Linked DNA regions of Elephas maximus indicus. The main gene of each other region encodes a partner of the protein of the gene in region 2 in a complex. Links are inferred from orthologs where the notes say so. Each region holds a gene or a part of one and is shown on either strand. Other genes may lie near its edges.

What was found. Proteins that work in one complex are often made in the same cells at the same time.
Region 1: EXOSC2 (region 2) and EXOSC7 share a complex: the UniProt entries of both Homo sapiens proteins name them as parts of the RNA exosome core complex. The link is inferred for Elephas maximus indicus from reciprocal best matches to the Homo sapiens genes EXOSC2 and EXOSC7.

Annotation. Positions count from the first base shown.
Region 1 is NC_064838.1:49,285,101-49,292,962, forward strand, and holds the start of EXOSC7 (exosome complex component RRP42), read left to right. Parts: upstream 1-4,825; 5' UTR 4,826-4,847; coding exon 4,848-4,904; intron 4,905-7,862. UniProt on the Homo sapiens protein: Non-catalytic component of the RNA exosome complex which has 3'->5' exoribonuclease activity and participates in a multitude of cellular RNA processing and degradation events.
Region 2 is NC_064827.1:81,633,959-81,641,808, forward strand, and holds the start of EXOSC2 (exosome complex component RRP4), read left to right. Parts: upstream 1-4,770; 5' UTR 4,771-4,806; coding exon 4,807-4,928; intron 4,929-6,505; coding exon 6,506-6,607; intron 6,608-7,850. UniProt on the Homo sapiens protein: Non-catalytic component of the RNA exosome complex which has 3'->5' exoribonuclease activity and participates in a multitude of cellular RNA processing and degradation events.

The sequences.
Region 1 (7,862 bases), on a different chromosome or scaffold from region 2:
CTTATTGCAACAGAACCCTGACCAGAACAGGACTTGCCCCACTAGGCTCACCTTCCTAGGGTAAGATAGCGATCCCACCCAAAGGTGTTCCATCCCCACTGGCCCTGAGCAGGAGATACTCATGTCTCAGCACAGAAAATCCAGAGTTCAATCACCAAGTCTCTACATACCAGGAAGGCCACAGTTTGGAGGAGACTATGAAAAGATGATGTTTTCCTGGCATTTCAGTTGTATTGGGATGAATGATTACAGTTGGGGAGACATGCTACTATAGGTTTCTCACCTTTACAATCAAGGGCCATGGATTACCTGGCCATTTGTCTCTGGATATCTGCTTTGGAAGAGGAAGGCAAATGATTTAAAATGCAAAATCAGGAAGAAAAAGGTTGTTGTTGTTAGCTGCCACTGAATTGGCCCCTGACTCCTGGCGACCCCATGCACAACAGGATGAAATGCTGCCCTGTCCTACACCATCCCCACGATTGGTTGCAAATTGGACGGCTGTGATCCATAGGGTTTTCACTGGCTAATTTTTCAGAAGTAGATTGCCCGGTCTTTCTTCTTAGGCCATTTTAATCTGGAAGCAGATACTAGTCTCCTTTTTTCCCCAGCAGGTCAATATCCAGACATCATATTCCTCCATTATTCCTTGAGACTCAGTTAACTTCTGTGGCTATCAGGGTGTGTATGTGAGTTTAAATGCTTCCAGAATTGGTAATCGGGATATATGACCCCCTTTTCTCACACACACCCTTATGAGGGACATAGGAAGCACCCTGCCATGCCCTCAAAATGAAACACATGTGAAGACTCCTCCTCCAAGTGAGAATAAACTTTCCCGATGTATTTCTATCAATTTTCTATCGCTATGTCCCCAAGTTACAATTTCTAGAACTGTGACATAGACCTGCTGGCCAGACTCTGCCAGGTTATTTATAACAAGTATTTTTTAAGGTAAGATAGGGGCAGGACAAATTCAAGTATATAAAGAAAACAGATCTATAGGGAAAATAGTAGCTCACTTTGTCCTTTTCTGGGGTGATGGGTTGATGGTGAAAAAGCAAAGAAAATGGACTAAAACTTGGCCATGTCAGTTTAAGACTGGGAACAAAATATTCCCCTGCTGGGTTTTTAAAGACTCTGGGTTTTTTTTTTTTTTCTAGCTCTCTGCAACTTCAGCACCATGGAGTGACACACTGCCCCCAAGCTCTTCCATAACTGGCTTTTATTGCTTTAATTAAACAAGACTAGGTGGGACAGATTCACTCCATCTCTGTATTATTATTGTTGCCTGCTAGTGGCTTTTAGTGTGTAGTGGCTAGCAGCAGCTCGTCACTTCTTGCACTTGATGCCTGGCCTGCACACTTAGCACCTTATTATAGGCTGGCCTCTCTTCTAATTACCATGTGTCTCAATTGAGCACTTTATTTTATTGTCTTGTTCATGCACTAGTTCAAGTGCTTGGGTTCCCTAACTATTATAGATTCTAAACTCCTTTTGGGCTGGTGCTGTGTTTTGGGTTTCCTTTTTATTTCTTCAGGCCCATGAGAACACTATAGACCTCTCAGGCATGCAAACACCACTTCCTGGTTTTATGAAGTTTCTAGATCTATCCTGGGAATATGGCACATGGTTGGAAGCTGGGATGCCATGCCTATTTCCACCCTCCGTATCAGATCCTTCAGCCTCCTTCACTGGTGAGGGCTCTCATCAGCTTCTTGGAGTTATGCTCTACTAGGCCTGTATCTAACTTTTTTTCTCATCTAAAAGGTTGGGCTGAAATAGACAGAGAAACTTTCCACCAGCACCACCTTCCATGTTCCTCTAGAAAAAAAAATTTAAGGATGTGAGTTTATGCTTGAAACAGACTTCTCACTTACTATTTTTATAGTCCTTGGGTAGTGCAAACAGTTAACTGTTGGCAGTTCAAACCTACCCAGAGATGCCTTGTAAGATAGGTCTGATCAGCTTCCGAAAGGTCATAGCCTTGAAAACCCTATGGAGCAGTTCTACTCTGCAGACCTGGGGTTACCGTGAGTCAGAACTGACTTGACGAGAGCTAACAACAACACAGTTTATAGGGCAGTTGCCAATTCCATAACAAACGCAGGCCACCTTCTCCAAACACTCCGGTGAATGAAACAGATCCTGGGGGGCGGGGGGCTGGGGGAGGACGGTATAGGTAATGGTTAGAAGTACAAGCATGGGAGCTAAATCGGCTGGGCTCAAATTCTGGCTCTGCTACTTACTAGTCTAGCTATGTGACCTGTGACCATGGTCAAGACACTTAATCTTTCTACACCCCAGATTCTCAATCTGTAAAATGGAGATAATGATAGTATCTGGCTCATAGGGTTGTTGTGAGGACAGAAAGCGTGAACCTTTGTAAAGTGTTTAGAACACTGCTCGGCACATAATCAGCACTATGTAGGTTTGTGTTAAATAAAATTAATAGAGTTCAGCTTTTAGAATATACAGACCTACAAAAATAATATACCCCTGAAAGAATATGACAGTGATGGGAAAACAAGCTGGTTGAATGGAATTTTTTGCCATCCTTAACTTCTTAAATTTTTGGCTAAAAAAAGAACTCTGAATTTATGGGTTTTAAAAATGTTTAATCATTATCACAGCAAATGTGATAAAAATGTTCTGGAAACATTAAGTAGAACAACCAGTGAAGGTGCACTGTTTTAGTTGAGAATTTAAAATAAATAGTCTATTGTTTATACCTCTTACAGCTACTTAGCCTAATCTATCAGACATCATTCGTAACAGTATTTATGTTATGTAACTTAACAGTATTAGCAAAAACTATGGACGCTTCCCCAGCAAGAAACCCTTTGTCAGGTGTCAGGACAGCTCAAATATATGTTGTGTATTTTAAAGGACATATTGAAAGATATTTTCTATAAAGATGACTCCATGGTATCCAAATTCAGACCTTTCTTGCTCTGTGTCTTTTCTGATCTGTGAATTTGCTGGCATCTTTTAAATCCCCAATCCCCTGACATATCCTAGCAACTAAAATCCCACTTGAAGAGGCTCTCTCTTCTGAGCAATTACTAGTACAAAATATGGTTTCTCACAGTCCCTTGTTATCTCAACACACAGTTCCTCACATAGAATTCAGCTGCCCAACTACACACAAAGGTATCTATGTACCACAACAGGTGGGGCACCTGTGCCTTGATTGGGGAGGGAACCCTTCTGGCTTCACCTCTCCTAGTTTCCCTGGAGAGCAAAGTTCAACCCTGGAAGACATCTTCCCTATAGGTGCACCTTTACAGAAAACTACGTAGACTTCAGAAACAAATGCCTAGTCTAAGAAAAAGTGATCATCTATTTTGGGGCTCAGCAGTTAAGTGCTTAAGAATGCGGGCAGACACTTCCTCTCCGTACCCTTCTCTGACTCACCTCCTGGTTCTCAGTCCCACTGCACCCATTGGTGCTACCATCATAGCTCTAACCACAACGTTCTGTGGTTCCCTCGACCCTCCAGCCTCCCCCTCTGCACAGGGAGCTTCTCTGGGCAGAAGTTGCATTTTACTTGTCTTAGTGTTCCAAAGCTAGAACAAAGCCCATCTGTAGTAGGCTCCCAATAGTTATCTGTGAAATTGTACCGAAGCCAATATCTGAGAAAATCAACCATTCTTTGGATAATCAAGCTGTTAAGGTTTACTTTGGTTTCTGACAACAGAGAAGGAGGTTCCTCAAAAACGGGACACGAGGAAGTCATCAGACCCATTCCTTGTTTCAACCACTTTGAATCAACTTTCCTCCATTTATCCGCATGGCCCCTTTAAAACTTGTACCGTACCGAGTCTGCCCCGCCTTAATGGGCTCCTGTGGTGACCCCAGCTTCACCTTGCAGGTATCCTGTCTGGATATCCAAGGCCCAGAATTCGACTCGGCCACCGCGCGGGGCTGGCTTTTTTACCGGCAGCTGCCATAGCTCCCACGATCACCCCCATCAAGCCGGGACTTCCAGTCCCCTATGGGAAGCGCTGGGGGCGCCCCGGCACTGCGCCCGCGCCAGCGCCGGTTGCCAAGATCCTCCTTACTTTTTTCGGGACAATGCTCCGGCGATCATCCGGGGAAGTGGGCCCTGCAAGGTCCTGGCCCCCCGACCCGTTCGATTCGTCCTCGGAGAGAGGAGGGGGGAGTTTGAGGGACCGGGGGAAGGCGGCGACGATGCCTCGAGATTAGTGACCCCACTCCCCGCCCGGACCCTTCCCACGGAGACCGAGCCGAAGAGAGCTTCATTGCTTCTACTTTTCAACCATTCTAGGAACCAGGGAAAGGGAGGGGCGGGAAGAGTGGGGAGATAGCCCCCCGGGCCAATCACGACGTCCGGCTCCTTTCGGGGTCTGTCAGTTTCCTCTCTCTTACACACACATGACCTGCTACTTCAACTCCAGCTGTGAGCAAACTGCGCCTCGTGCCTCTCCTACTACGAGTCCCCCAGCCCTGGCCCGCGCGCCTATCCTAACCCCAGTTTCTTCACCCCAACCCGAGTTCCCCCTTCTAACTGACCGTGAAGCCGGTGGCAGTTCCCCAGTCCCAGGCCGCCGGGGAGACTCTTGCCGCCGCCGCCGTGGCCACAATTTGCACTCCCCGACACGGGTCCCGGCCTTGGGCTGCGGCGATGGCTCCCCGGCTCCCTGGACTCGGCCAGACACCCGGCGGCGCGCAGGAGAAGCCCATCGAGCTCCCGGCGGCGGCGGCAGCAGCGGCTGCAGGAGCGGCCGCCGCGCTGGCTGATGACGTTCGGGTGCAGGGGGCGCGGCCGCCTGGGGGAGGGGGCGCGGGCGGATGACGTACGGCGAGCAGGGCGACTCTGCAGCATGGCGTCCGTGGCGCTGAGCGAGGCGGAGAAGGTGTACATCGTGCATGGCGTCCAGGTAGTTGCAGCAGCAGGTCGGCCGTAGAGTTACGCTGGCCCTGCGAGCTGCGGCTGGCCCTCGGTTTCCCGGCTGGGGAGGCCCCAGGTTGCCGCGAGTCTGGATTTACCTTGTGATTAAATGGCTCGGATTCTGCATCCCGAAGCCGGCAACGCGGCCGTTTTTAGGACTGGGTGGCGAGCATCCATTTAGGTCTCTTCTCGTACTTGCAGCTTTTCGGGCCTACAAGGTTCTGAACCTGGGTAGGAAGGGGTGGGCGCTCCCAGAGGCCTTTCTTGAGGTCTTTCCTGGGGGAAATACCGCCCCCGGACCATCTCTTCACCCTTTGCGTGACGCTTCGCTTGGCCTAGTCTCAGTTTTTTCTTCTAGGAAATGGGGGGAGGTGTGTTTCTGGCTCTCTTTTTCTCAGCTGGCGGTTTGGTGGCTCAGAGAGAGCACACACCCGCTTTGAAGATATATATTGCCTTACAGATGAAGGAGGGATGTTATGATTTAAAAGGCGGCTTTGCAGCCAGTAGCGTAATTCTTTCTGTTTCCCATTTTGCCATTGGAGAACTAAGATCCCTAAAAACAGCTAGAACCCATTGTCTTTGCTCAGACTTCAACCCCTAGTTTGGACCACTCCAGAAGTAGAGCTGGAGGATGTTGGGCCTGCTAGGAGCTACCCAGCTTCCTTCTCTGGCTCTTGTTATCCTTCCTTCACTCTTGTTATGCCACTGCGCGGCTCTCCCATCCCAGTTCTCCAGCCCACCTATGGCAGAGTTCTGAGGGCAGCTACTGCACCCTCCCTCATGCCCTTTCTCAGCCAAGGCAAACTGCAGTCAGTGGTCCCGTGATGTAGGTAATAGATTAGGCAGCCAGCTATCATTAAAACTCCACAACTGAGTTAAGGCCGTGTCCTTTTTAAAATTGTGGCCTGCTTTTTTTTTTTTATTGTGTGTGCCTGTTACAGAGGAAGTAAACATCAATATTTAGCTGACAGTTTGCTTGTTTGTTGTGTAACAACTCAGCGACACCTGAACCCAAGGTGGGCCACATCTCCAAGAGACTGAAGAAAGACTCCAGAACCAGTCATCGTGACATATGGTTTATTGGGACACTTACTTACAGGACCGTGGCCCAGGGCGGCAGCTGGACTAGTTTAGTGCTCCACAATCACCTAGCATAGGACACGAGCTTATATACCATTCCAGCTGGGTCCAAGGCTCATGGTTTTTCTCCCACGTCCTTGGGCAGTTACCGTTCCCAGGGACTTCACGTCCAGGCCCAGATGTTTTTCTTCTTGTTGCTAAGGCTTTCCTCAGCCTTGGTCACTGGCCTAGTCACACCACTCCTGTCCTTGTACCTCAGCCCAAGTCCATCCTGAATTCATCCCCATCATGCTTTGGGGGAGAGCAAAGCTGACTCCATTAGGACGGTATGCATATAGCTGAATAGGATTACCCTACAATATTAAACCTGAATAATAGAGTCAGAACGTAAAGGTTCATGAACTTTTTAAGATCTACTTCAGGGTCAGCAATAAGGAAATATATGTGTGTGTGTGTGTTACTGAGTGGCGTATGTATGTTATTTGTGTTTGGGAGGTATAAAACCGTTCACAAAGCAATTAGATTTGTCCTTCCCTGTCTTATTTTTGTGCCAACTTCGTTCAGATGATTTTCCTCCTCAAAGGAATGCTTAGGGGAGGCATTAAGGATTATGTTTTATTTCTAAATCTAAAAGCCTTTAGGTTTTTTCCTTTGCTACCACAGCCAGGAAATATTGGTTACACTTTACAGCCAATTCTCTCTCACATTCCATCTCTGACAGTGGCACCAAGGGACATAGGATAGGAAAATAAGTGAGTCCTCCTTGTCTGTAACCTCCCTAGGTTAGAGATGTCTTACAAACATCCTTAGTTCCCATGGCAACTCACTGTCCAACTGCCTATCAGAGACCCACTGAGGCTATAAGCTTTTCTTCCTTATTACTTTAAAATCAGTCAGCACGTCATTTATATTTATTACACACCTGTTATATGTTGGGTGCTGTGGGGAGGGAAAAAAAAAGCTACAGTCTGGCCCCTGAGATACTTAGGATATAGTTCGGGCAACGTTAGTTGGTTTTATTCACCATTTTATACCCAGCCCCCATTGTATTATGTGGGAAACAGTAGGAGTGCCAAAACATACTTGTGAAATAAATAAATGAACAATAGGGGAGAGAGACAGGAAAGATGAATAAAACAAAAGCAATGGCATATAGGATATACGCCAAGGGAGCTAAAGATTTCTGGGGGCTATAATGCTCTGGAAGGCTTCCTTAAGGAAGTAGAATTTCCAAGTGTCCCCCCTGTGTATCTTTGGGAATCAGTATTCATTCACCACAGAACTGAGCTAGCCTTGGGAGGTAAGACGGAACCTGCCCTTATCTTGTTCCCATGCTAGAAGGAAGATGCAGGAATTACAGACCCATTTGTTTATATGTTTAACTGAAAATTGTACTGAGTGCTGTGAGTGAAAAAGCTTTGGATTTGATCCAGTCTGGGAGAGTCCCTAAGGAAATGGCGTTTGAGCTGAGCCCTCAGAATGAGCAGGAGTTAAGTAGTCAAGAGCCTTTTAGAAGGATGGGATGGTGAGTCCACAGGCCCTTCAGAAGAGGAAGTGTGGAGCCCCAGGGGTGAGCTGGGGATAATAGTGGAAGACTGGATTGCAGAGGTGACCAGAAACCCAGTTACTTTCCTATTATGGATCTTGGTGGGTAATGGTCTATTGACTTATGTGTATGGTATCTTTAAGGCCTAGCCAGCGTCCAGCACTTGGTAGGAACTCAGTGACATTGAATAAGTATGGTAGGCCGTAAAGGGGGGGTGGGTTAGACAGTCTTTGTTTTTTAAGTCAACCCTCACACTCACTAATACATGGAAACATTAGGGTCACAGTTCATAGTAAAAAATATTTTTTTAGATAGTATTTT
Region 2 (7,850 bases):
CTCCCACATACACCCTCCTTTGTGGGAGTCATCTCATGCCCTGGCTGGTGGGGCACAGGCAGGGAAGTACACTGATGTGTTCACATGCAGGCTCCATCTGGGGTTTCCTGCCTCTGGCTGGTGACAGAGCCATCCTTGATATTCCTCCCACCCCCGGTCACAAACTTCGCCTCTCCTTTTTTTTTTTTTTAAACAGGCAGCCAGTTTTATTCATACAGTTATTTATTTGGTAGTTTTTTTTTTTATTGTGGTAAAATGTATATAACAAAATTTATCATTTTAACCACTTTCGAGTGTACAGTTCAGTAATGTTAATTACATTCACAATGTTGTGTAACCATCACCGCTATTTCCAATAAGTGAGTTTTACAAACCTTTTTTATCATCCTTACCAGAAACTCTATACTTATTAGGCGATAACTCCACATTACCCCTTGCCCCTGACCCTGGTAACCTCGATTCCACTTTCTGTCTCTATGCATTCGCCTAGTGCCTCTCCTTTGACGCCTCTCCACTAGGCTTTCGAAGCCTCTGGTAGCCCCTGGTACCACCCTCCACACACTGCCTCCCCCACCCAGGCATCTTGTCCCCACAGCCAAAGTTTGTATGTCCCGAGGCCCCTTCCCTCTGGATGATGACGGGTGAAGTGGAATTAAACACCATCATGGCTCACACTTCATGCCTCCCAGACAGTAATGCCCAAATAAGGTAAAATGCTGGCTTTCTGAAGAACCTGCAGGAGTCAGACTTCAGAGAAGTCAGTGGCGTCCTTGATCAAAAATTTAAATTGTTCTCCATAGGTAGTTAAGTCCCAGCTAACACCAGGGCCACAACCCAGGCTCCAGAACCCACCTGGTGGCAGTGAGCTGTAATTGCAGACCGAGGTGCCACTGGCTTGCCAGCTGACCTGCTTCTACAGACACGTGTCAGGGCCTGTGCTAGGCACTGGGGAAACAAGGATGAACAAACAGGGCTCATGGTGCTGGGAGGCTTGACGCCGAAAGCCTTATCTCTCACCTTGGTTGCATTTCCAGCAGAGACCTTGACCCCCTTTCCCAAGCGTGCACTCCCTGGACAAAAGCATGTGAACACAATCACAGCAATTTCTGTGGGCCAGCCCAGGCTTAGGGATTTAGATGCATGCATTCTGGGAACCCTGCCAACAACCCCACAAGGCCAATGCTCTTTTTATGTCCATTTGAGGTATGAGAAAACTGAGGCATAGAGAGAGCAAGTCATTTGCCCACATCACTCAGTGGAAGAGTGGCAGAGCAGGGTTCCACCACAGGCATCTGACTCTCAGGAGCTTTAGGGCACACCACTTCCCATTCAGTCCACAGATTCAGTCCAAAGGACCTGCTGCATTTCCCATAGGGGTGCAGTGTAGACCAGCATTGTACACTGACCTTGTTTCATGTGACCTTGTAAAACTCACCTATTAGTTCCTGTGGCGTTTTGTAGATTCTTTCGTACTTTCTACGTACAGTATCATGTTGCTTGTGAATAAAGAGAGTTTTATTTCTTCCTTTCTAATTGGATGCCATTTATTTCTTTCTCTTGCCTTATGTCATCGACCAGGACTTTCAGTAGTAGAAGGACTCTAGAGGCTGGGTTCAAATCCCAGCTGTGCCACTCACTAGCTGTGTGAATTCGGGCAAGTCAATTAACGTCTCTATGTCTCAGTTCCCTCACATGGAAAATGGAGTGATACTTAGCTCCTAAGGATGTTGTGAGATTAGATGGAATAATGCATATAAATGAATAAAGTACATGGCTCAGTGTCCAGTACATAGTAAATGCTCAATATATGGGAGCTGTTATTAATAAAAGAATGCTTTGGTGTGTGCCAGGGGTTGTAGACACCCCCAAGAGGGCATCTGAGGCAGCTGTTAAACCCCTTTCCCCCAACTGTTTTCTATACTTATGACCCTTGGGTCTCTCAAACTGGAGGATCATATATCCTAAGTTTTCAGCTTCTTTCCTGCTTTGGAACTGGCCCACTAGGAGTATGTGTCTGTGGTTGGGTGGGGAAAATTATGGAGTGTGACTAGATAGCTCCCACCCATGACCACCTGACATCTGTTTTGTAAGACAGGCCCCCCACTCCTGGGCTCCTGGCTAGAGAAGGCTGCCCCAGGGTAGGGATGTTATGTAGAGAAGGCTGCCTCAGGGCAGGAACGTTATGTGGGTGGAAATCAAAGTTTATGCACAGATATATAGGCAAATGAGGTCAGAGACAGGCAGGGGCCAGGTCCCACAGGGCCTCAACGCCAGGATGATGAGTTTGGATTTTATTCTCAGTGTAAGGGGAAGCCACCAGAAGTTTAAGCAGGGAGAAATTTAATCTGATCTGATTTAAAAATATCCCTCTAGCCCTTGTACAGAGACTAAATGGTAGAAGGGGCAAATACACAATTAGAGAGGCAAACTAGGAGGTTATTGTAGCCACTCGAGTGAGTGGTGACACTGATTGGCCTGGAGTAGTGGCCACAGAGATGCACAGATTGAGATGTAGATGGAGGAATCCGAGAATTAAAATGACCAACGATTAAAATCACATGGGGAGTTAAACACATACTGATAGACCTGCGGGCCTCACGCTTGTAAAGCCTCAATGCCTAAATCTGGGCTTGGAGCTTGTATTTTCAACAAGTCCTCTGGGACGTGCAGCCATGTTTCCTGAGTCTACTCATCCACAAGGTAGTGAAGAGGCAAGTGTGGTAGAGTGAGCAGAGCCTGGGGTGGGAAGGCCAGCTGCCAGTTTGTTTTTGGGACTTAACGGCCCCAAATGACTGTCAGAACTAACAATGCCTACCTCCATGATGGGCCAAGTTGTTGTGAGGAATCAATAACACAATGTTTTTAAAGTGCCCAGCAAAGGCCCGGGCCTTTGGGAAACGTTTAGCAAACGGTGCAGGCCCCGGAGTAAGGCAGGTACAGTTGGAACACTGGCTCTGGCACCATCTGCTGTGTGAATTCTCATCCTTTTTGATAATTTAATCCTCTGTATAGTCCCTGTGCATCTATAAGAAAGCATCCATTCTACACTGACACACTTGGCTTTAAAGTCGACTCCGCAGCAATCACTTTTAATACCAACGTGATGACCAAACAAAAAACCTGTTACCCTTGAGTCAAATCCAATTCATAGCAACCCTATAGGACAGAGTAAAACTCCCTCCATAGGGTTACTAAGGCTGTAAATCTTTACAGAAGCAGACTGCCGATCTCTCCCCCCATAGAGTGGCTGTTGGGTTCAAACTGCCTTTCTGTTAGCAGCCCATTGTGCTTAACCACTGCAACACCAGGGCTCCCTCTGTAAACTAGGAGTGCTGTGAGAATTAAAGGAGTTAAGGTTTTGTTCATCCTTCCTAGTGTAAAACAAGATGTCAAGACTATACCCCACCCCTTGGTCTAGGGGCACGCAGAATCTTGCTCTGAACTGGCTGGGCTCTGTCGGCTCGCAGGGCACCACTGCCCTCTTATGGCCAAGGCTTGACTCAACAGATGGGCCCTTGTACTTTCTTCTGCTCCAGTGCCTTCCTCAAGGTAGGGAGGAGGGTGAGGGTCTGACCTGCCCACTTGTCCAATGACCAGCAGAGCTCTAGCATTTATATCAGAGATTGCCTCACAGGGTTGGTAGTCATGAGCCTTGCTTAGGTGAAAGAAGTGTCCTCTTTTTGGAAATTCATAAAACAATTGATCTGATAAAACTTCAGGAAGCAGCGGGCCTGATCTACTGAGTAGAGCAAGCAGTATGTGGCTAATGCAGGCAGTTCTTCCATTTAATCCTTAAAAAAAAAAAAATTTTTTTTTTTTAATGGTCCCTGTGCATGAAGAATTATAATCTCCAATTTCCCGAGGCTGAAACACAAGTTTGTTGTGCTATAAACCATGAAGGACAAGGGCCAGGGAGAGCATAGTGGGGGGCAGGAAAAATGGGTGAGGGAAATGCTCGCATTAAGTAGGACGTGGAGGTGAAGCCACATACACATGTTCGCTGCATCCTTAGAAAGATGCCTGGCACACAGAAAGCGCCAATTCACAAGAAGTATAAATACAGGTGAGAATCTTTGTGTTATGTGGGCACTTGCTCTCCTTGCCAAACATACCTGCCCTGCAAGGTCTGACTGGTTTTTTTTAAGACAGTTTCTTGTTTTTTCAAAAGAAATGTTAAAGTAAATCAGCTCACTCAAAGAACGTTACAAGGAAAGTAGAAAACCAGTGAACAATGCGGAACATTGTTGGGAGGAGTTGATGGTTGGTGCCGAACCAGCAACCTACACGGGGGCTGTAATGTAAAATACTGGCTGTAATGTAAAATAAGCCACTAGGAACGATGTGGAAAGGGGCTCTCCTTATTGTCCAATACTATTTTCTGTAGATCTTACCTATGGATCTTTCTAGATTCTTTCATACAAAAAAAAGAACCAGACTCTTAGCGGCTTAGAGTTGTCAGGAAACTCAGAGGTCCATTTCTCAAATATCTCTAATCCTGGTAAACAGTAAACGGGATAGTGTGTACGAGGCAGTTTTGGTAAAAATCCAGGCGTCACACAACGTGAAACTTTGCTATTTCACTGGCGCAGCCTTGCCAATAGTAAACATGGCAATTCGGCTCCTCTTTCCCTTCAAGTTAACCTAAGGGTTGCCACTAGTCAACATGGCCGCCAGCCCGTGACCGCCTATTGGCGGCTTCTCAAAGGCCCTGCTCTGCCCCGCCCCTGCGAGCGTCCGCGGGGAATCGCGGGGACGGATATCGTGGCTCCGGGCCCGGTTGCGCCTGCGCAAGTCATTGGCGCCAAGATGGCGATGGAGATGAGACTTCCAGTGGCTCGCAAACCTCTCAGCGAGAGCCTGGGTCGCGAGACTAAAAAACACCTGGTAGTGCCGGGAGACACGATCACTACAGACACGGGCTTCATGCGGTATGTAGGGACCTGGGGGACTCGGGACTCCAGTGAGCGAGTGCAGGGCTCAGCACGTGGCCTACTAGTCCGAAACCCCGGCCTGCAGAGTCTAAGCCCTTCCTTCATTCAGCGCAGATCTCCAGAGCACCCCAGTCCCCGGGTTTCCGAGGACTCGGGCTTCTCACTCTCTGTTTTGTGTGTTCGCGTTTGTCTCAGCCCCCTGAAGCCCTTTTCTCCTGACCTCTGGTGGCCGTGGTCTCTCGGGTCCTCTGCCTTTGGCCCAGATCTCTAAGCCTTCCTCGTTGGAGACCTGGAAAACTGGGGAGAGTCTGGAACAAGGGCCTCTTTCCAGTTTTCAGGAGAACGGTGGGCGTTTCTGATTTGGCTTCCATCTCCCTCAGTGTCATCTTGGGACCAGGGGCTGGGTTTTGGAGTCAGTAGTTTGGGTTAAGGCAGACAAATATATTGTGCTACATGCATCGGAATATACAATCTTTGACCTAAAGGCAATGTAGTTTGTTATGGTTAACAGGGCAGGCTCTTGAGTGAAACGGTCCTGGTTCCAGTCGTGCTGCCATCATTTATTATTAGCGGCATTATCTCCTGAAACATTATTTCCTCGTTTGTAAAATAGTGATGACAGTAGCTATCTGGGAAGGTAGTGAGGATTAAATGAGATTATAATGTGAAAAAGAGAAACAGAGCCCACCAAACCAAAAAAAAAAAAAAACCAAACCCATTGCCCTTGAGTAGATTCCGACTCATAGCGACCCTATATAATCCCACCTTAAACACTATTAACATTTTAGTTGGTTTGTTTGTTTCTTTTTTTGCAGGGGGTGGGGGAGACACATGTACATATATGAGGAATACAGCATTTACAACATTGCCTTTTTGCCCAAAACCAAAAAACCGAACCCACTGCCGTCAAGTCGATTACGACTCATAGCAACCCTACAGAACAGAGTAGAACTGCCCCATAGAGTTTCCAAGGAGCACCTGGCAGATTTGAACTGCTGACCCCTTGGTTAGCAGCCATAGCACTTAACCACTACGCCACCTTTTTGCCCAGTTTGAGGTTATTGAATTCTCGGAAATCTTAAAACTCATTCCTGCGTTCTTGGCATTCGATACATTTATATTATGTGCGGTTGGGGTACAACAATGAACAAAATGAAAATCTCTGTCCTGGCGGAGTTTAAATTCTAACAGGGACAGACAGATAATAATTAAGTAATCACAACAAATAAATAAATTGTGCAGAATGTTTGGTGAAAGTGCAATAATAAAACAAAAAGCAGAGCAGGGTCATTGGAATGGGGTTGGGAATGTGGTGGTATGGGCAGCAGAGTGGATTACTGTTTTAAATGAGGTAGGTCAGATGGAGAAAGTGATGTTTGAACAGACTCGAAGATGAGGGAGACGTCCGTGTAGCTCTCTGGAGAGGCAGTGTTGCAGGCCCGTAGAGTAACCAGTACAAAAGCCAGGCTTTAAGGCAGAAGGAGCGTGTTAGGTTTGAGGAACACATTGTTCTTGAGGGGAGAGGTCACCTCAAGTGTTACCCTAGTATCCTTTGTATCTGTATCTTGCAACAGGGGTCATGGAACGTATATGGGGGAAGAGAAGCTCATAGCATCTGTGGCTGGCTCTGTGGAGAGAGTAAACAAGTTGATTTGTGTGAAAGCTTTGAAAACCAGGTGAGGACAAAAGGTGTGTATTCTCTTTCTTGAGACAACATATTGTGTGACCAAGTCTATTCTGTCTCCCTCCTCCCAATTGCCCTATCATTTTGTGAGTCTGTGATTTTGAACATGACTGTAAGAAAGATTGTATGGAGATTATATGTAAGGTTTTCCCCCATTACTTAACCTTTCCAAGCCTTGGTTACTTCCTCTGCAAAATGAGGATAAAAACACAAACTGCCTTCTAGAATTTTTGTTAGAATTTAGCGAAGCGATGAATTTATGTAAAATACTTAGCACAGAGCCTAGTACCTAGAAGGGCTAAGTAAAGGTTAGCCCCAGGAACAGTGAGTGAGGGGGACGGTAGGAGCATATACAGGCAGAGAGAGAGCTGAGGTGGGAGGACAGTCTGGCTTGCCTTGTAGGCCATTGTAAGCATTTTGGCTTCCACTTTGCGTAACCTGGGAAGACATTGGAGGGGTAGAGCAGAGGAGGGACATGATCGACTTATATTTTAATAAAATCTGTCCTATAGAGTTGCTGTGAGTCGGAATCGACTCGACGGCACTGAGTTTTTTTTTTTTTTTTTTTGGTCTGGCTGCTATGAGGAAGTTGAAGGGGAATCGGGGCAGATTTAGGAAGATGAATTCATCTGAAGTAATGGGTAGCTTGGAATGAAGTAGTAGAAGTGGAAATGGGAGTAGTGATTTGATTCTGCATATATTTTGAAGGTAGAGCTAGCAGGATTTGCCGCTGGACTGATCATGGAGCATGAGAAACAGAAAGGAATCAAGGATGCCTCTCCAAGGTTTTTGGCTTGAGCATCTGGTGGGATGAAGTCACCACTTACTGAGATGGGGAGAGGAGAAGAGGAGGTTGCTTGCAAGCTTAGTTTTGGGCTTGTTAAATTTGAAAATGCCTATTAGTCATTAAAATGGAGTGTGTGGGGTAGTCATCAGTAGTATTTAAAGCCATTAGATTGAATGAACTTACCAAGAGATGAGTGTGAACTGAAAAGTGAAGAGGCCCAGGGACTGACCTTGAGCATTGGAACATATCATCATTAGAATCAGAGCAAAGAGGCCTGCGAAAGGGCAGCCATCGGGTAGGAGAGGTGGCGAGTAGGCCCATTTAACTGGCATCAGTGCCTCTTTGGGTGGCATCCTGTCTCAGAATCTCCTTTTTCCTCTTCTGGCTGGTGCAGAGCCCACAGGAAAACATTCTATCCTTTACATTGACCTAATAAAATAGGGATTTC